Linked DNA regions of Saccharomyces cerevisiae S288C. Each later gene encodes a partner of the first gene's protein in a complex. Each region holds a gene or a part of one and is shown in the gene's direction. Other genes may lie near its edges. The genes, in order: ELG1, POL30, RFC3 and RFC4.

Region 1 (4,807 bases):
GAGCCATAGAATTTGTGACAATATCAGCCAAGACGCTATAATACTTATTTCATTCAGAGAGAACGGCCTGTTGTTTTTAATAAGAATCCACTTTAGATTGATTTTGAACCTTTCTTGAAAATTCTTTGCATCTGCTAGAAGCGATTGCTTGAACTCTCGCTCATTATTTTTTCTCAGCAAAATAGTCTCAATATTGGAAGCCTTGGTAGTGAACTTGTCATTGCTTGGAAATGTTCGGATGTGCCTTTGGGCGATCAAACATCTAACAGGTAACGAACTCTTGTAAGGTGTTATAAAAGGTCTGACATTTCCATGATTAGTTGCGACGTAAGTTCGAATACAGTGTCTTACGAGATGACTTGTAATTGGAAGCAGTGGCCGCTTTATTGTAGGGACCCGTAAACGTGTGATTAGCATGAATTTTATAAACCTCCCACCACCTGATAATCTGTATGTGCCTTTTGTTTTAATACTTCTTGACGCAAATCTACTGTCAACTTTAATATGCATCCCTCCATAGTAAGTCAAGGATCAGCTAGAACCAATAACGAGAAGTAAAAAAAAGTGACAAAAAGTCAAATGTGTCTTTATACGAATTTTTTAACCTACATATGAAGAGTAAGGTCATAAATAATAAATGTAGGGCTAAATGCAGTTAAGATTACTACAGTATTAGGTCTGTTTTTTATCACCTCTTACGGAAAGTGCGAGCGGGAAAAAATTTTTCTTCTTTCCTTATTATCATACCGATGCTCATCACAATGAAAGATACATATTGCATCAATAATAGGCAGTTTTCAATATTCTTCTGTTTAGTTAAGAAAAAGACTTGAAGTGAAAATAAACTACATTATGGTTGCGCCTACTGCTTTGAAAAAGGCTACTGTGACACCTGTAAGTGGACAAGATGGGGGCAGTAGTAGAATTATAGGAATAAATAATACCGAAAGCATCGATGAGGACGATGATGACGACGTTCTGTTAGATGATTCCGACAATAACACAGCAAAAGAAGAGGTAGAGGGCGAAGAAGGTAGCCGGAAAACGCACGAATCTAAGACCGTAGTGGTTGATGACCAGGGGAAACCTCGCTTCACTTCAGCTAGCAAAACACAGGGTAACAAAATAAAATTTGAATCGAGAAAGATCATGGTTCCACCACACAGAATGACACCCTTGAGGAACAGTTGGACAAAAATTTATCCTCCTTTGGTCGAGCACTTGAAGCTGCAAGTCAGAATGAATTTAAAGACCAAATCCGTAGAACTAAGAACGAATCCTAAATTTACCACAGACCCTGGTGCGTTGCAAAAAGGGGCCGATTTTATCAAAGCCTTTACCTTAGGGTTTGATCTTGACGATTCTATCGCACTATTGAGGCTAGATGATTTATATATTGAGACTTTTGAAGTCAAAGATGTCAAGACTCTAACAGGTGACCATTTGTCGAGAGCCATCGGTCGTATTGCCGGTAAAGACGGTAAAACGAAATTTGCGATTGAAAACGCTACAAGAACAAGAATTGTCTTAGCTGACTCTAAAATCCACATTTTGGGCGGGTTCACCCACATCAGAATGGCAAGAGAATCTGTGGTTAGTTTAATTTTGGGTTCCCCTCCAGGTAAAGTTTATGGGAACTTACGTACCGTTGCATCTAGATTAAAAGAACGCTACTAAACATAATTTGTGGGCTTTCATCATCTGTATAATATTTATATGTCGTTTTATGGCGAAATAGAGTGAATAAATAGGTTTTTTTTTCCTTCTTTTTTTTAGGACGCCAAACGCGTAACGTTAGCGGTGATAAATTAGTTTAGTATTATTATCCGGCTATTTGCTTCATGTATTTAACGTCTTCACTGACCACCTTCGCTGCACTAAATCGTATGGTACCATAGCATTAAACTTTTTGAATCAGAGAAGGTTTTCCAATGAAAAGGCACGTGTCTTTATCTGATATATTGACAGGAAATAAGAGAAAAGTGAGAAGACAAGATGCTCTACAGATTACCATCGATGACGAAAATGATACTGAATCAGGCACTTTTGACGCCAGAACAGCCAAACATGACGATTCTTCAGTAATATTTTTAAACCACTCTGTTGTGAAGCCAATTGAAGCTGTTTCTACTAATCACAAATCTGCAAAGGAGTTTTTGATGACGAAACGCACAAAAGAAAAATGCGATGACGACGATGATGATCTTATTGTAATCAGTGATAAGAGTCCCAAAAGTGAGACTAATTGTAGCAAAATTGCACTTTCGCAGGAGCATGAAGATGATATTTCTATAATTTCCACATCGAGAATCAAATCATCGCTTCTTAATGAAAGAGCATCAAAGATTAAAAACTTCCTTAAACATGAGACAACCGACACGTTCAAAAGATTAAATAGCATCTCTAAACTAAATGAAATAGAGCCACCATTACCATTACATCAATCGATTTTCCCAGTAGGTGACAAAGAGCTGTCAGATCGGAGTGTTGATATCCCGCTTCCTTTCCGCACAATACCGCCATTAAATCATAATTTTCTTCCTAGTGACTATGAATCGTTGAAAGACAAGAATTCAGCATCTTGTATTCCTGTTCGCTATCAAGCACCGGTATTACTTGGCACAAATATTAAAAGAAATACAACTCTCACATGGCCGCAGCTATTCAAGCCTGTCACTTTAAAACAAGTATTAATTGAACCCAAATTGAAACTTCGAATCAAAAATTGGATTGAAACATCCTTTCATACGCTAGAAAAGCCTACCTTGAGGAACCGTCTATTGAACAGAATAAATCCCAATAAACAACAGGGATCTGGTGATGAGCTTGCCAACTTCATTGTACCTGATCTCGAAGAAGACGAAAACTTGCGTCCAGATTTCTACAGAAATGGCGAAGCAAATAGCAGCTTGAGCGAATTTGTTCCACTAATGATATTACACGGAAATTCAATAGGCAAGAAAACGCTGATACAGACAATCATGAGAGAGATTGCTGGCGACGATAATTCTTACCAGATATATGAAGTTAATTCAAACATGAACAGGAGCAAAAAAGATTTGCTTGATATCCTACTAGATTTTACCACCACACACTATGTCAAAGATTCCTCAAAAAGGAAAAGTGACTACGGGCTTGTTTTATTTAATGATGTTGATGTTTTATTTAAAGAACATGATAGGGGATATTGGGCAATGATCAGCAAGCTTTGTGAATTTTCACGAAGGCCCCTCGTATTGACTTGTAAGGATTTGTCACTAGTTCCTAGTGAACTTATTGCCTTGGCAAGTGAACAAAACTCTTTGTTTCATACTAAGAAAATTAGTACATCCACAGTCTATGCGTTTCTAACAAAATATTTAAAGTCCCTTGAAATCGAAGTTTGTGACGACTGGCTTCGCGATGTTGTAAAACAAAATAATGCGGATATTAGGAAGTGCTTGATGCACTTGCAGTTTTGGTGCGTTGATACTGAGGCTGATTTGATTTCATCCAAGAACAGACTACCGGTCCTAACATCAACTCTTGGTTCAAGCGTTAAAGATATATCGCAATTAACTGATCTACTCTCCATAAATGATGTTATTGGTCAAGCAACGCTCAATCGTTCCATGGTTAGACAAGAAATAGATTCTACCACAATGACCCCAGAAAAAGTTAATACTTTCCAGGATCAAAATCTGGATGATGAAATGAAACTAAAATTTGATTACGTGATAGATTATAAATTGCATTTAAATGACCCCAATAGACAACCGTTATTACCGTTTGAATTGAATATTTACCAACACATCCAAGAACAATTGGAAGCTCGGTATTCCTATGTTAGAGAAGCAAACCATAGGCTTGATAACGAATACCTTGTTAACAGGTTCAAAAAAATGACAGAATCTACATTAAATTTTTTGGCGTCAAGAATACCGAAGTATGACCATCTTCAGTCGGCAAGAAGGACGAGAAATTCGAAGAAAATTTCTGATATTTTGAACCAATTCAAAGGAATTTATAATGATGAAACTCTGAACGAAAATGCCGAGATTGATCTGCTGAGCGCCACAACTCAACAAATTAAAGCGGAGATCAATCCCTTCGTTTTTGAAATCGCTAAAAGTGACGCCAATGTCAAGAATGAAAACAAACAAATATTTGAGTTGCATAGTGAAAATGTATCAGAAAGACGATACAAAGATTTGGTCTATCAGTTGTCACAAGAGGGTGTCTTGAAAAACGTATGGTTCAACGCTGATCCGAGCATAGTCGTGAGAAAATGGGAGCATTTGCACTCAGGCTTTTCAAAGAACAAATAACACTGATATGAAATTGCGTGCATCGTTACAGGAACACGTATGTATAATAAATATAGCATGGTAGTGCGGGGAAATATACTACTACTTTATATATCAATAAATTCTGCAACCTTGCATTAAGCAAATGCAGCACAATCCTAAATTCCTTCTAATAGTTGCCTTTATTTCCTCATAGTGCATATTTCAAAACAGCGAAAAATGCAAAATATGCGAAAACTTGAAAAAAAATGGCTGATGGGAATTACAAATAAAGCGTGAATGATAAGGCGTTTATAAAAGATTTAGCTTCTTAAGTACTGTGGTTTTGATAAAAGCTAGAAATTTGTAGATCACAATTGGTCACAAAGAACAATAAAAAGCTGAATATCACTGCTATGAGCGAGGAGTGTATTGAAAATCCTGAACGTATTAAAATTGGTACTGATTTAATCAACATCCGAAATAAAATGAACTTAAAAGAACTAATCCATCCAAACGAGGATGAAAACTCTACCCTACTC
Region 2 (4,375 bases), on another chromosome or scaffold:
CTACACCGAAAAATTCCAATGTTCTAACGACACCTACGTCAGATACGTCATTAACGATGCTGTCGTTCCAATTGAAACCTGTTCCACCGGCCCAGGGTTCTCTTGTGAAATCAATGATTTCTACGACTATGCTGAAAAGAGAGTAGCTGGTACTGACTTCCTAAAGGTCTGTAACGTCAGCAGTGTCAGTAACGTCACCGAATTGACCTTCTACTGGGACTGGAATACTACTCACTACAACGATACCCTATTAAAACAATAAATTGTATAAATAAATAATATTGCAAATATAAATAAATACCCATCGATTCTGATCTTCTTTTATGTACTAGTAGGGTAACGAGTTTGTAGATTAGCGGCAGAATGAAAAGAAAAAAGTTAACTAAAAAGTAAGAACAGCAAAGTTGATTGTAGTCTATATTGCTGAAATAGATATCGGAGCTCCCGTATAATATTAAAGTGCACCAAGAAAAGGATGTCGTTCTTTTTAAATAGTCTAAGGGGCAACCAGGAGGTCTCGCAAGAGAAGCTAGACGTTGCAGGAGTGCAATTCGATGCGATGTGCTCGACTTTCAACAATATTCTCAGTACGTGTCTTGAGAAATGTATTCCGCATGAGGGCTTTGGTGAGCCTGATCTAACGAAAGGTGAGCAATGCTGCATAGACAGATGTGTGGCAAAGATGCATTACAGCAATCGCCTCATTGGAGGATTTGTACAAACACGAGGTTTCGGGCCAGAGAATCAGCTACGACATTATTCGCGATTTGTGGCCAAAGAAATAGCTGATGATTCCAAAAAATAGCTGTAAATATGAGGACTGTCTGTGCTGTTTGTATATAATAGTAACCTGCATATATAGCATTATAAGCTGTGTAGACAATTTTAGAAGTACATTTATATGGTACCCGCACCTGGGTCACGTGCATTCCCCTCACCCGTTTTTTTAGGTGGTGTCTTTTTTGTTTTTTTTTTTAGGTGGCGCGGCAACTATAAAGTACAGCAAGTGAGGTTGAGGCAATACTGGGAGTTTACACTATGGGAGACAGCTCCTAACACCAAGCAGAAAAACGACTTTTTCGCAAAGTATGTAAGGCGCTGGGTGAGCCCAGCGGACGAGGATGGGCTTAATAAGAACGTACAGTTTAGCACAGCTAGAACAGGATACAGCTAAGGGCAACTCTGCTTTTCGGGAGAAGTTAAAGAGGGGTAGACAATGATGGTAATCTTATAAACCGGCTACAATGAAGGTTGTAGCAGCAAGGAAGATGATATTTTAATACGGTTCAGGTGAAATGAAATAGCCGCCCATAACGGCATGCTCAAGTTGTAAGTCAGGACTCTAGCTTTCTACTGTAGTATCCTCTAAAGGACTGCTGTTCTGTGCACCCCCTTCCTTTGTTTATCATAGCGCACGACAAGAGTACTAACTAATTAACTTAGAACATTAACATATATAAAACTAGCGCTATGGCCGCAACTAAAGAAGCAAAGCAACCAAAGGAACCAAAGAAGAGGACCACCAGGAGAAAGAAGGATCCTAACGCCCCTAAGAGGGGCTTGTCAGCTTATATGTTCTTTGCTAATGAAAACAGAGACATTGTCCGTTCCGAGAATCCTGACGTAACTTTTGGCCAAGTAGGCAGAATATTGGGTGAGAGGTGGAAGGCCTTAACTGCTGAAGAAAAGCAACCCTATGAATCTAAGGCTCAAGCAGACAAGAAGAGATACGAATCTGAAAAGGAATTGTACAATGCTACACGTGCTTGATCTAACAACTCAATGTTCTCTACCTCCCATACAACGTACTTTTGAAACTTCAGAAAGAAGTTGAGTAGGTTGCATTATGTGTTATTATTATTACTATTATCATTATTTTACTTATATATCCTTCTTTTCTTTTATGTATTCTCTTCCTTTTTCGCACAACTTATGCTGATTCTTCAATATCTAATTATTTAGCATTTTTCTTCTCCATCCGACGCACCAAAACGCGAAACGCGTAACTTTTTTTTTTTGGATTTCAACTGATAGTTTTCGTACTTTGCTTCCTCTGGTACATAAAATTATATATAAGAAACACTTTTGCTTTAGCCTTCCTTTCTTTCCACTTGCACCTTTCACTTTCGCCGTCCTTTTTCACTCACAGCAACAAGCAGCAAGCACTAAGTACGCAGTCAAAAGAGAGAAAAAATGTTAGAAGCAAAATTTGAAGAAGCATCCCTTTTCAAGAGAATAATTGATGGTTTCAAAGATTGTGTCCAGTTGGTCAATTTCCAATGTAAAGAAGATGGTATCATTGCACAAGCTGTCGATGACTCAAGAGTTCTATTGGTCTCCTTGGAAATAGGTGTCGAAGCCTTCCAAGAATATAGATGTGACCATCCTGTTACGTTAGGTATGGATCTAACCTCACTAAGTAAAATCCTACGTTGTGGTAACAACACCGATACATTAACACTAATTGCTGACAACACACCGGATTCCATCATCTTATTATTTGAGGATACCAAGAAAGACCGTATAGCCGAATACTCTCTGAAATTGATGGATATCGATGCTGATTTCTTAAAGATTGAAGAATTACAGTACGACTCCACCCTGTCATTGCCATCTTCCGAATTCTCTAAAATTGTTCGTGACTTGTCCCAATTGAGTGATTCTATTAATATCATGATCACCAAAGAAACAATAAAGTTTGTAGCTGACGGTGATATCGGATCAGGTTCAGTCATAATAAAACCATTCGTGGATATGGAACATCCTGAAACAAGCATCAAACTTGAAATGGATCAACCTGTCGACTTGACGTTCGGAGCTAAATATTTATTGGACATCATTAAGGGCTCCTCCCTTTCTGATAGAGTTGGTATCAGGCTCTCCAGCGAAGCTCCTGCTTTATTCCAATTTGATTTGAAGAGTGGGTTCCTACAGTTTTTCTTGGCTCCTAAATTTAATGACGAAGAATAAATGTAAATTATCTATATAGTTGTATACTAAAAATAATAAACAAAAAAAAAACAGTAAAGTTTGTTTTAAATGAAAATAAATAACAAAGAAAATAAAGACTAAGATGCGTTAAATATCAGCTTTTTGTGTGACTTATACAGTATTTATGACATATCTTACATTAATCTAGACAGCACATAACTTTTGCTATGAACCCTTCCAAATGGAATATTGCTTTGTTTCCAAGTGATAATCTTTCGTCAAAAACACTTGAGTATTCAATTATGGACGATTTATTCGTGGTATTCAGGGTTTCCACATCCAACAAAGAAAACGTTAGTTCCTTTAAGATGATATTGGCAGGTATACAATGAGCTAGTAAATCGTATAGGACAGCTCTGCATTCGATTAAAGAATTGACAGATCTCTCTTTAACGATTTTCCTCGTTAATTTATGGATCACTATAATCCAATCTGGTTTTATTATAGGGCTACTGCTTTTCAATGCTAATTCGTTGTTCAGTGCCATAGATTCAAGCATTAATAGGGAGACTCGCAAGTTTCCATTCGATGCCTGAGCAATTCTTTTTAAAATATCCTTTGTTTCTAGTTGTATTCTTTCATTTGTCACCACATCAGACAAGATAGTTGAAATTTCGCTATCGCTTGGTGCAGGACAACGAATCAACAGACAACGGGATTTGATAGGAGCAATTATAGGCGACATCGAATCGCAGACCATTATCAACCTAATGTTTTTGGAGTATTTTTCCATGGTACGTCTTAAAGCAGCTTGAGCATCTTTTGTTAACGAGTTCGCCTCGTTGATAATAACACACTTATATCTATGGGCAAGTCCATCCTTAGAATCTTGAAAGTCCACTTGTTCCATTTGAGCCACTTCTTTCAATAGTTCTTGGATGACAATTCTATCATTGTTACCCATATCACTTGGCGTGATCTCTAAATGGTATGGCGAGCTGACCACATTCAGTTCTAGTTTTCTGTTCGAAGCAGTGACAAATTGTCTGACATCAATTTTCAATCTATAGACTCCAGGTCCAAATATGGACTCCAATAATGCCATACAACGCGTTTTCTTACCTGTACCATTTGGTCCATACAGTAAAAGATGAGGTAAATCACGAGGCTGATCAGATAACGATTTTAGAAAATTTGTCAACTCTTCATTATGTGAAAGAGCATTCAAGGACTTAGGTCTGTATTTATCTACCCACAATGACATGTTTGTGCTGTACTAATCTATAATTTCCATGAACCATCATACAAATGAAAAGTCTATTTTATGTTCCAAGGAATAAAAAATCGCGTTAAAATATTCAAGAGGCGACACCGCAGTGCTTCTAGAAAAGATTCCTCAACACGGTGTACATATGCATAGACTCGATACATAAATTTGACTACA
Region 3 (4,923 bases), on another chromosome or scaffold:
ATATGGTGAAATTGATACGTTTGCAACAGCAGGACTGGTCTCTTGAAAAAAATAATGTGTTCCAATTAACGGATTTTACTGAAAGAGACGAGAAGGTGTGGAGTAAGGTACTGGAGAAGGTTCTAGACGAGGGAGCAACTGTTGATGTTATAGAAGAGCTAAAGAAAGCAGAAAAGGAAATACCAGCGGACGTGAAGGAATGTATAGTTTCGAGTGATCAACCTGGTGATGAGGCTACGGCTGAAACAATTGAAACTGCTAACGCCGAAGAACATTCTAATACACTAAAAAGAAAAATCGAACAGGTGTAAAAAAGAGGAAGTTCGAACCATTTTTTTTTTTGGTCTTGTGAAGACTACGCTCTCATTTTATCTATTTTTTTATGTGTATATATGATTTAAAAAAAATCGATGTACTTATGCATTTAAATCGTTCAATTTTTTTGTGATAGTTCGGTCTCTTCTACGTATCGTCCAATGGATGAATTACCATCAAGGATGAGTTACCTATATAATTACAGGTTGAGTAGTCAGTGTCCATATAGAAATTGTAACTTTGATAAAGAAGATCTTCCGTAGTAAGATCATTCGGACAGGAAAATTGAAAATCGCTTGGGCAATTTCGTACTAATGTATAGCACATGTCAATACAAGGTAGAATTTCGTAATAGTCATCCAAAGGTTTAATAAATTTATTCAAATAATCATTACGGTTGTGACTTTTATCTCTGTGGATGTAGTATTGGGAAGACGTCGTGGTGCATCTCGGAATTGATACTGCACATACCCAATCACGATAAGCTTCGGCACAATCGTCACAAGTCATGACCGGAGAATATCTTGCGTCTTTGTCTGCGTCACAGGATATTAACTGTAGAGCTTTGCTAAAATTTGCATATAGTGCCTCTGCAATGTGGTCATATGTCTGCGCCATGAGAGTTTTATTACCCACAGAAAATGAGGATGTAGGAACAGAGTAAGCGACGTCACTGCAGAAGTCCAAACCAAAGATCAAAGAGCAGACATCGGTACTTCTTGTGGTAAAATAAACATGTGAAAATAAAATGCCGCCCACACTTGACAACCCATCACCATTACTGATTTTCTTTGTCAGGTACGCTACATAAGTTGTTGAGGCATTCAGTCCTGTCACGTAAAACATTTCTGTCACGCTACCACCATATTCTGTAATTTTTTTTTGAATCGCCAAGTCAGTACGCTCTAAAGGATTTGTACTATTTGACGTAACTGTTGCATTTGATGTATTTTGGGAAGACACTAAATATGGTCCATTTTTCACAGCACAAAGAGATAAATTATAGTTTTGGTTTAGTTGAACAGAATCTTCGTACGAGTAAACATACAGATCGTACAAGGATGGATCATATATTGAATAATTGTGATAAACTTTGGCGTCTGCGGTGACATTCCCCGTTGATAGTAATGCAGAATTCATATCAGTGTCCAGGACCTCTACCCAAGGCCTTACATCCCACTGAAAAACCAAATCGTTCTCAGAGATACTCAGTCTATATTCCCAATTTTCAGAGGCGTCGGAACTGGACAGAGGTTGCTCCGTAGTGGAATTCACTAGCTCAGCGACCACATAAAGATTTGAATACGTGGAGGTAGCGTTCGAGCTAGAAGACTGCACTGGACTGATGGCTAATGCTTGGATGTAGCCATCCTGAAAAACTGCACTTTGACCTATATTTGGGTTCTCTAAAACCGTTTCATTAAAAGAGTAGTATATTGTTAAATCCACATCTGATCTATTCATGGGCATTTGGCATATATTGCCGCTAATAAACATTAACACTTCATACGTGGGAGCAAACCCATAACCGGAGGCTTCTGCGTCAATGGTAAATACAAAACTGTCTTTTTTGCCCGCTGTTATGTTAGATAAGATCGGGGTCCATTCATAAATGCTATCCGAATTGATGATTGTTTGTTGACCAGTAGCCATAACGTTTTTCTCCCATCTATTTAGGCTGGGAAACTTTAAGGAAATATTCTTATTTGCGAAAGGATTGAAGTCTTGGAATAAACCGTGAATAGAAGTGGTAAATAGGCAGTAAACCACGAATAGTGCTTGCCACACTATCATCCTTAGAAATAATACTGCCGCTGGACAGAAATTGTAGTGTTACGGGTTTTACTGCAATTCAGTATGGCAGTTAAGCCAGTCAAGTATTTGAGAAATAGCCAAAACGGTACGTCAGCCGGTCGAAATTATTAGGGAAATTTTCCGCAACCAATGGCTCAGTTTCAGTAACCTGTTCTTGAGAAAACAACACGTTTACTTGTAGAGTTACTATTGCGGTCCGATGGCAGCGAAACTATATCATTATTATATTATGTATGGCTTCTCAATTTTGATCTTTTTTTTTTTTGGTCAGTACGCGATTTTGAAAGAAATGGAAAGAAGCTATAAAGAGCACAGGATAAATATCTTTTCAAAGCTTGAATAATTTTATAAAAGGTGTAGGAACAGGCCCGACATACAAGAATGTCGACAAGTACAGAGAAGAGGAGCAAAGAAAACCTTCCATGGGTTGAAAAATACAGACCCGAAACGTTGGACGAAGTGTACGGACAAAATGAGGTGATCACCACAGTTCGTAAATTTGTAGATGAAGGTAAATTGCCACATCTTCTATTCTATGGGCCTCCAGGTACCGGTAAAACTTCTACAATTGTTGCTTTGGCACGTGAGATATATGGTAAGAATTACTCGAACATGGTTTTGGAGCTGAATGCATCCGATGACAGAGGTATTGATGTGGTGAGGAATCAAATTAAAGACTTTGCCTCTACAAGACAAATCTTCTCTAAAGGGTTCAAGTTAATTATACTGGATGAAGCAGATGCCATGACCAATGCCGCACAAAATGCGTTGAGAAGAGTTATAGAACGGTACACCAAGAATACGCGGTTCTGTGTATTGGCCAATTATGCGCATAAACTTACACCTGCGTTATTGAGTAGGTGCACGAGATTCAGATTTCAGCCCTTGCCCCAAGAGGCCATTGAGCGTCGGATAGCCAACGTCTTGGTGCATGAGAAGCTGAAGTTGTCTCCTAATGCGGAGAAGGCCTTAATAGAACTTTCTAATGGGGATATGAGACGTGTGTTAAACGTTTTGCAGTCTTGCAAAGCTACTTTAGACAATCCCGACGAGGATGAGATCAGTGACGACGTTATCTATGAATGCTGTGGGGCACCCAGACCAAGTGACTTAAAGGCAGTATTGAAGTCGATACTGGAGGACGATTGGGGTACCGCCCACTACACACTTAATAAGGTACGCAGTGCCAAGGGTCTCGCGTTGATCGACCTAATCGAGGGCATAGTGAAGATACTGGAAGACTACGAACTTCAAAATGAGGAAACAAGAGTGCATTTGCTTACCAAACTGGCCGATATAGAGTACTCGATATCCAAGGGTGGCAACGACCAGATTCAGGGCAGCGCGGTCATTGGCGCCATCAAGGCCAGCTTCGAGAACGAAACTGTTAAAGCCAACGTATAATCGACGCAAATATGTATAGATACAATATGTACAGAACAACTGCATTGTGCAATATAACAACATAACACAACGCCCAGAACGAAATAAAAAAAATAAAAGAAATAGATGAAAGCATTTTCAATTTGCATACCGGAAACCGTAAATCAATTGGCGTCTAGCTAACAACTGAGAATGCGAATCGCCAAATTGTTACAGAAAGTAGCATTCCGTTACGTGATCTGTACTTTAACCTCTTGGACGTAAAGAATGGCAGAACTCTGGCTCTAGTGTTCTGCGAATGCCAGATCGGGAAATATTTCCCAAAAGGGCAACAGCGGCACGAACAAGAATTTCGTGTTAAAAATCGCGTCCGGCGCGAAATTTTTCGCGGAGGCATGCGACGCAAAAGCGACTCGAAATGTCGGGAGCCAAATGAGGCTACAAGGCTGTGGGCAGATTTTGGCGTTATTATGGAGAATAAAAGGAATGGTAGCTTCCATATAGCGATAGGAAAACATATATAAGGTCAATAGGCCTACATGGTAATGGGATTGATAAGCTTGTCCTTAACTCTTGTGTCTTGGAATTACTATTGCGTACATCAGCAATCATCCATTGTCAAGAACAAAAACGATAACAAAAACAATCAATTATACAAATAACAGTAAAGTAATAAAATGTGTGAATACAGCAAGGCTCTTCATATTCTGCTCAAGTCGCCAGTAACGGATGACATAATAAAATTCTTAACAGACACAACATTGAGGGTTGTTCCTTCAAGCAACTACCCCACGCCTCCCGGTTCTCCAGGAGAGAAACACCTCACAAGGCTGCCATCGCTAATGACTTTTATCACTAGATTGGTCAGATACACCAACGTCTACACACCCACTCTGCTCACCGCTGCGTGCTATTTGAACAAATTAAAGCGTATTCTGCCCAGGGACGCTACTGGTCTCCCCTCGACCATCCATCGCATTTTCTTGGCCTGTTTGATACTGAGTGCTAAGTTTCACAATGACTCTTCTCCTTTAAACAAGCACTGGGCTAGGTACACCGATGGTCTCTTTACACTAGAGGATATCAACCTTATGGAAAGGCAGTTGTTACAGCTGTTGAACTGGGACCTCAGGGTGAACACAGAAGATTTGATCCTAGATCTGCAGCCTCTATTAGAGCCCATCAAGCAAGACTTGGCAAGATCCAGCGACCAAAGGAAGAGAATTAACATGATGATGTCCATGAACAGAAGGACTTGTGCTGGCACGAGTCCTATCAGATCAAACAACAGATTCAAACTCTACGAAAAACAGAGAAACGTGTCGATAGCATCCGATTTAAGTTCTGCTACTCTAGTCGACAGTTGTAATGATCTAAGAAGGCTAAAAGATGTAACCAACATAGCGAACA
Region 4 (4,953 bases), 460 kb from region 1:
AATGCAAGTCTTCGTTTACAAATGGTGATGTCATCTGTTGCGAGTCGTATTGCTTTTGCATATCGCTCATTATAGCGGTTGCTTGCGTATCGACATTGTATTGGCTCATAATCGATGCGGTGTTAATGTTGGAGCTCCCTTTACTTTGAGGAATTTCTTTGTTATGCCTAAAGTGATTGTTATTCTGCAATAAAATATCATTTTCATTTCCTTTTATAGAGTTATAAGAAGATGATGATGAAGAAGAAGAGCACGTTGTCTGAGATGTTGTAGAAGAACGTGCTAACATGGCAACATTATTTTTTGATCTCTGACTTCCAGTTGAATCTAATTTTAATTCTTTCACACTATTCGAACGACTCAAGCCTGCAGATGGAAGGCTGTTACCACAGATAGAAGAGTAATCATTTTTATAACTGTTGCCATCGTCACTACTTTTCATTGAAACGAGGCTCTGGTTACTTTTCATGGAACCTATACTCCGGCTGCTTTTGGAAGCTGGAGATTTGGAAAGTTTAAAAAACTCTTTCATCCACTTTCTCTTCGAAATTTTACTGTTTTCCAGACCACTTGTGTCGCCGTCCTTATGTGTATCGGTATCTTGTTCATGATTTGAGATACAACTAGAGTCTTCAGAACTACGCGAGGTAACTGTCATTGTTGAAGTCCCTTCCATATTTGATGCCTTTAAAATATTATCCATACTGGTAGCAGAAAGCTTTAATAGATCTTTAATAGATCTTTAATATGCCTTTAGTAATCACGGGTTTTTTCCTATTTAAATGAAATTTTATAATACATTTAATTTTTCTTTTTGTGACATTAAAAAAATGTCAATGACAGAGAGAAAAAAAAAAAAAGTTTGTGAGGTCAAAAATATGTTAAATAAATATTAGATAGAACATGTTAATTCAGTATAAATTTTTTATTTCTTTTGTAAATGAAAAACTGGGAAAATATGACGAAATCCATGAATAAAGTACCTATGCTTCCAACCAACCAGGAAGCATTCATAATTAGATACTTCCAGTCTAAAGAAATGACAATCACAGAGAAAATAAATGTGGTATTACCCAAACAGGCGAACAAAAAGAATAGGAAACTGATACCTTCACAAGACTTTCTCTTAAAATTCAGTAATATCTGAGGAATTCTTGAACCCAGATACAAAAGGGCACTTAAGTAACCGAATATCTGAGCCATCCAATTGATCTGCAGTTCGGGAACAGGCAGTGATGGATCCTCCACGGGAGGAGGTTGCGTGTAGTTTACGCAGTAGGTTACATACCACGAGATGAAACCTACAAAAACTACACCACTAACAATAAATATGTCTTTTATCAAATTTCTTGAATTGACTTCACGGAGATTATCATCACCAGCGTTTCCGTCGGATGAAGGAGCAGCCATTTCTTCATCAATACGATTTGGCTGACCTTGGGAATTCAAAAGCGGTTGTTGTTCATTGAACACATCGTGCAGAACGTTTTCGTTTATTGGATTGGCAGGGGAGAGATGAATAGGGTCTACTGCTGGTTTTTCCTCATTATCGTACCATAGACATTGACCTAGTAAAATGATATCTGCCACCGTATAGTAAGCAGCAAGAATGATCATGGTAGACAAAAGATGTTGCATAACGGCACCCATAAGGTTAAAGACATCGCCGGCCAACCAAAGTACCACGAACAATAAAGACAGCCCATCAGACGACTTCCGGTAAAAGTTCTCGTAAATTTGAGGGACAAACACAATGATCCAGCAGGAGATGGAGATGGACCCAGATATCCCACTTAGAGTGGATCTATTCAATTCTAGCGGCACAAGTTGCATAATTGAGGTCGTCGAGCGATGTGGTAGCTTTTTTTTTGTATGGCATTCTTTCGTTAGCAGTACATATCATCGCGAAGACGATTAAAGTACGTAGTGAATAAAAAGACGATATGTGAAAAATTGCAATCCGGGTAAAAATAAAAGAGTCATTAAGAGCAAAAATGACCATATTAGAGAATTTACAGGTAAAACACATACAACATCAAAGCAAAATAAGCAAAGAGAAATAAGAAGTATCCTCCCACGGCCCTACATTAGATTTGGACCTCTCGGACACTAAGATTGGTGTTGTTAATATTAAAAAGGGAATGCCATTTAGATTTCGAGTGGAGCCAGTTTCGGCGGCTAATGTCCAAGTACTATGATAAGCATAAACACCCTTTGAAGAACTACTACCAGTTGCGCATGTTTAACCCGTATCTCTGACATCAATATACACCTATTGTAGCTACGGAGACTATTACTATTTTGCTATTCAGTTACTAATAATACTACAGTGATGGCTGCCTATGTGTCCTTTGGAGCTGGCGAAGAGCTTGCGGATTTTGCTTCCGCATCCAGCTTTCTGGGTGGTAAAACGCTTTCAAAGGCATTTTTCCAGTTATGGTCATCAAAGTATTTCAGCATGAGTTGCACGACGTGCGTTGTCGTCAACACTCTTCTGCCTTCGAGATTGATGTACTCGTCAATGGGCAATCTTCGCGTAGGAATGCCCATCTTTTGGGCCTTCTTCAGACACAATTCTTTATAACGATTCTTGTCTACAATGCCGCCAACAATGTATCGCATCCCGGGTTCCAGCTTCTCCAGCTTTTCCTCTGTATCGGCCGTTAAATACACTATTTTGTCCTTACTTATATGCTCATCTCCAAACATGATTTTGTCGTCTGGTAGGAATTTAAAATGGTTCCAGTTTTCATAATTGGTATTTTTCAGAGTAGTTTCAAACCTTTGCTTTAGTCTTTTGTCGAATGGGGCCACCTTTATTTCTGCAAAATGGTTCGCCCTTCTATTCGCGGAGTATGCCCTGGTGACCTGGTTAGACAAGCTTACTATTTCCTTGTCGTTCATTAACTCATCAAAAGAACAGTCAAGTATGATCTCTATCCCAGAATCAGTCTGATTCACATTGATACGAGGCTCTCTAATCAATTCCTGCGGGACCTCTTCTCCCCTGTCAATGTATTCTTGAATCTTCGCACTTCTTTCATGGCGAAGTCTCTTCTTCTTTACACGGCGTTCCGCATTGTATTTGGCTTTATTCTCCTCCCATCTCTGTCTTTTACACATTTTTTTCCATTGCTTTTTAGACATGCCTTCTGGCACAGGCGGTAAAGGTGGTGTTCTTTTCACCTTTTCCTCGTTCTGGTTTATCTCATCATTGGACATGTTGTTTTGCCTGCAGATTGACACTTAATTATTTACCTTGAAAGCTTTACGCTATATTAAACATCACCATCTCTCTTAAAGACAATGAAAATTTTTCATTACCACATCACACTGTTAGATTAAACGCGTTTTTTCTTGACAAAAAGGTGGGAAAACCAACCACATATTTTAAATACTGTAAAATAGTAGCATTTATAAATCTGATTGGATCTATTATAACATTGCAGAGCTTCCCAGAAGATATAAAAAGTCCCTTATAATGTCCAAAACTTTATCTTTGCAACTTCCATGGGTTGAGAAATACCGTCCCCAAGTTTTATCTGATATAGTCGGTAATAAAGAGACCATTGATAGACTTCAGCAAATCGCTAAAGATGGTAACATGCCCCATATGATCATATCAGGTATGCCAGGTATAGGTAAGACCACTTCGGTACATTGCCTTGCTCACGAGCTCCTTGGCCGCTCTTATGCTGACGGTGTTTTAGAGTTGAACGCTTCAGATGACAGAGGTATTGATGTCGTCAGAAACCAAATAAAACATTTTGCCCAGAAGAAACTACATTTGCCTCCAGGGAAACATAAAATCGTTATTCTTGATGAGGCGGATTCCATGACTGCTGGTGCTCAGCAAGCGTTGAGAAGGACCATGGAGCTATATTCGAACTCTACAAGGTTTGCATTTGCTTGTAATCAATCAAACAAGATCATTGAGCCGCTGCAAAGTAGATGTGCGATTTTGAGGTATTCTAAACTATCCGATGAAGACGTTCTAAAACGTCTTTTACAAATCATAAAGCTAGAGGATGTTAAGTATACAAATGATGGGTTAGAAGCAATCATTTTTACAGCGGAGGGTGACATGAGACAGGCCATAAACAATCTACAAAGTACAGTAGCAGGACACGGTTTAGTGAACGCAGACAATGTCTTCAAAATTGTTGATTCTCCTCACCCTCTAATAGTGAAGAAAATGTTACTAGCCTCCAACCTAGAAGATTCAATTCAAATCTTAAGAACAGATCTTTGGAAAAAGGGTTATTCCTCGATTGATATCGTCACAACATCTTTCCGCGTTACCAAAAACTTAGCACAAGTGAAAGAATCAGTAAGATTGGAAATGATAAAAGAAATCGGTTTGACCCATATGAGAATTCTGGAGGGTGTTGGAACGTACTTGCAACTGGCTAGTATGTTAGCGAAAATTCATAAACTAAATAATAAAGCCTGATTTAAATATCCGAAAACTATAAAAAAAACTCCCATATTAGTGCATTACTTTAAATTCTACTTCTTTGTCTTGTCTCTTCCCTTGTGATGTGTCAGAATTTTTTTTTTTTTTTCATTTTTGCACAATTTAAGCTTTAAAGTTGTTTGTTGATCAAAACTTACAACTCGCAGTGCAGTTACATAGTCATAATATGTAGAAAAAATATAGAGAAGGTATACGTCGTTCGTTGAAGACAGATGGACAAGCTAACTCCATCTCAATGGAAGGTAATAAATAAGTCATATGAACCAGCGTCTACGATAAAAGTCATTGCGGGCCCAGGCTCAGGAAAAACGCTAACGCTACTATATAAAGTACTACATTTAATTACTGTGGAGAATATTAAGCCTGAAGAAATACTTATATTTTCGTTAACAAACAAAGCAGTTGATAGTATAATAGAAAATTTACTGTCCATTTTCGAAAACTCGCATACAAATAAGGAAATTGTCCATCAGATT

Evidence for each region.
Region 2: the proteins of ELG1 (region 1) and POL30 are in contact, whole or in part, in a cryo-EM structure (PDB 8THC), measured with the Saccharomyces cerevisiae proteins. Residues at the interface, in NP_014787.3 of Saccharomyces cerevisiae: Glu275 (codon at 2,754), Lys276 (codon at 2,757), Pro277 (codon at 2,760), Gln362 (codon at 3,015), Tyr364 (codon at 3,021), Asp379 (codon at 3,066), Ile380 (codon at 3,069), Asp383 (codon at 3,078), Phe384 (codon at 3,081), Thr385 (codon at 3,084), Thr386 (codon at 3,087), Thr387 (codon at 3,090), His388 (codon at 3,093), Tyr389 (codon at 3,096), Val390 (codon at 3,099), Lys391 (codon at 3,102), Arg431 (codon at 3,222), Arg432 (codon at 3,225); in NP_009645.1 of Saccharomyces cerevisiae: Asp42 (codon at 2,317), Ser43 (codon at 2,320), Arg44 (codon at 2,323), Val45 (codon at 2,326), Leu47 (codon at 2,332), Leu126 (codon at 2,569), Lys210 (codon at 2,821), Tyr211 (codon at 2,824), Pro234 (codon at 2,893), Phe249 (codon at 2,938), Ala251 (codon at 2,944), Pro252 (codon at 2,947), Lys253 (codon at 2,950), Phe254 (codon at 2,953), Asn255 (codon at 2,956).
Region 3: the proteins of ELG1 (region 1) and RFC3 are in contact, whole or in part, in a cryo-EM structure (PDB 8THD), measured with the Saccharomyces cerevisiae proteins. Residues at the interface, in NP_014787.3 of Saccharomyces cerevisiae: Arg184 (codon at 2,481), Ser185 (codon at 2,484), Val186 (codon at 2,487), Asp187 (codon at 2,490), Ile188 (codon at 2,493), Pro189 (codon at 2,496), Leu190 (codon at 2,499), Pro191 (codon at 2,502), Phe192 (codon at 2,505), Arg193 (codon at 2,508), Met561 (codon at 3,612), Val562 (codon at 3,615), Arg563 (codon at 3,618), Glu565 (codon at 3,624), Leu611 (codon at 3,762), Phe613 (codon at 3,768); in NP_014109.1 of Saccharomyces cerevisiae: Ile90 (codon at 2,779), Ala121 (codon at 2,872), Met122 (codon at 2,875), Thr123 (codon at 2,878), Asn124 (codon at 2,881), Ala125 (codon at 2,884), Gln127 (codon at 2,890), His151 (codon at 2,962), Lys152 (codon at 2,965), Leu153 (codon at 2,968), Thr154 (codon at 2,971), Pro155 (codon at 2,974), Ser242 (codon at 3,235), Lys245 (codon at 3,244), Ala246 (codon at 3,247), Leu248 (codon at 3,253), Lys249 (codon at 3,256), Leu252 (codon at 3,265), Glu253 (codon at 3,268), Ile284 (codon at 3,361), Leu285 (codon at 3,364), Glu286 (codon at 3,367), Asp287 (codon at 3,370), Tyr288 (codon at 3,373), Glu289 (codon at 3,376), Leu290 (codon at 3,379), Phe331 (codon at 3,502), Glu334 (codon at 3,511).
Region 4: the proteins of ELG1 (region 1) and RFC4 are in contact, whole or in part, in a cryo-EM structure (PDB 8THD), measured with the Saccharomyces cerevisiae proteins. Residues at the interface, in NP_014787.3 of Saccharomyces cerevisiae: Arg193 (codon at 2,508), Ile195 (codon at 2,514), Pro196 (codon at 2,517), Leu198 (codon at 2,523), Asn199 (codon at 2,526), His200 (codon at 2,529), Phe202 (codon at 2,535), Pro204 (codon at 2,541), Asp206 (codon at 2,547), Tyr207 (codon at 2,550), Leu210 (codon at 2,559), Lys211 (codon at 2,562), Asp212 (codon at 2,565), Lys213 (codon at 2,568), Arg222 (codon at 2,595), Pro226 (codon at 2,607), Thr237 (codon at 2,640), Thr238 (codon at 2,643), Leu239 (codon at 2,646), Thr240 (codon at 2,649), Gln243 (codon at 2,658), Lys344 (codon at 2,961), Asn367 (codon at 3,030), Ser368 (codon at 3,033), Asn369 (codon at 3,036), Met370 (codon at 3,039), Asn371 (codon at 3,042), Asn406 (codon at 3,147), Asp407 (codon at 3,150), Val410 (codon at 3,159); in NP_014547.1 of Saccharomyces cerevisiae: Glu28 (codon at 3,563), Thr29 (codon at 3,566), Asp31 (codon at 3,572), Arg32 (codon at 3,575), Leu33 (codon at 3,578), Gln35 (codon at 3,584), Ile36 (codon at 3,587), Asp39 (codon at 3,596), Asn41 (codon at 3,602), Pro43 (codon at 3,608), His44 (codon at 3,611), Met50 (codon at 3,629), Ile86 (codon at 3,737), Asp87 (codon at 3,740), Arg90 (codon at 3,749), Lys94 (codon at 3,761), Gly106 (codon at 3,797), His108 (codon at 3,803), Met119 (codon at 3,836), Thr120 (codon at 3,839), Ala121 (codon at 3,842), Gly122 (codon at 3,845), Gln125 (codon at 3,854), Ala126 (codon at 3,857), Arg128 (codon at 3,863), Arg129 (codon at 3,866), Thr130 (codon at 3,869), Glu132 (codon at 3,875), Leu133 (codon at 3,878), Ser135 (codon at 3,884).

Annotation. Positions count from the first base shown.
Region 1 is NC_001147.6:602,217-607,023, reverse strand, and holds ELG1 (Elg1p), read left to right. Parts: upstream 1-1,931; coding exon 1,932-4,307; downstream 4,308-4,807. Other genes in the region: MDM32 (Mdm32p), read right to left, coding at 1-417; PNO1 (Pno1p), read left to right, coding at 853-1,677; THI80 (thiamine diphosphokinase), read left to right, coding at 4,682-4,807.
Region 2 is NC_001134.8:423,585-427,959, reverse strand, and holds POL30 (proliferating cell nuclear antigen), read left to right. Parts: upstream 1-2,193; coding exon 2,194-2,970; downstream 2,971-4,375. Other genes in the region: acid phosphatase PHO3, read left to right, coding at 1-262; TIM12 (Tim12p), read left to right, coding at 476-805; YBR090C (uncharacterized protein), read left to right, coding at 902-1,086, 1,444-1,627; NHP6B (high-mobility group nucleosome-binding protein), read left to right, coding at 1,471-1,770; RFC5 (replication factor C subunit 5), read right to left, coding at 3,131-4,195. UniProt on the Saccharomyces cerevisiae protein: This protein is an auxiliary protein of DNA polymerase delta and is involved in the control of eukaryotic DNA replication by increasing the polymerase's processibility during elongation of the leading strand. Involved in DNA repair.
Region 3 is NC_001146.8:83,707-88,629, forward strand, and holds RFC3 (replication factor C subunit 3), read left to right. Parts: upstream 1-2,511; coding exon 2,512-3,534; downstream 3,535-4,923. Other genes in the region: pseudouridine synthase PUS4, read left to right, coding at 1-311; MID1 (Mid1p), read right to left, coding at 463-2,109; PCL1 (Pcl1p), read left to right, coding at 4,191-4,923. UniProt on the Saccharomyces cerevisiae protein: Component of ATP-dependent clamp loader (RFC and RFC-like) complexes for DNA clamps, such as the POL30/PCNA homotrimer and the checkpoint clamp DDC1:MEC3:RAD17 complex.
Region 4 is NC_001147.6:141,084-146,036, reverse strand, and holds RFC4 (replication factor C subunit 4), read left to right. Parts: upstream 1-3,481; coding exon 3,482-4,453; downstream 4,454-4,953. Other genes in the region: SPO21 (Spo21p), read right to left, coding at 1-703; YPQ1 (cationic amino acid transporter), read right to left, coding at 907-1,833; TRM10 (tRNA (guanine(9)-N(1))-methyltransferase), read right to left, coding at 2,341-3,222; HMI1 (ATP-dependent 3'-5' DNA helicase), read left to right, coding at 4,690-4,953. UniProt on the Saccharomyces cerevisiae protein: Component of ATP-dependent clamp loader (RFC and RFC-like) complexes for DNA clamps, such as the POL30/PCNA homotrimer and the checkpoint clamp DDC1:MEC3:RAD17 complex.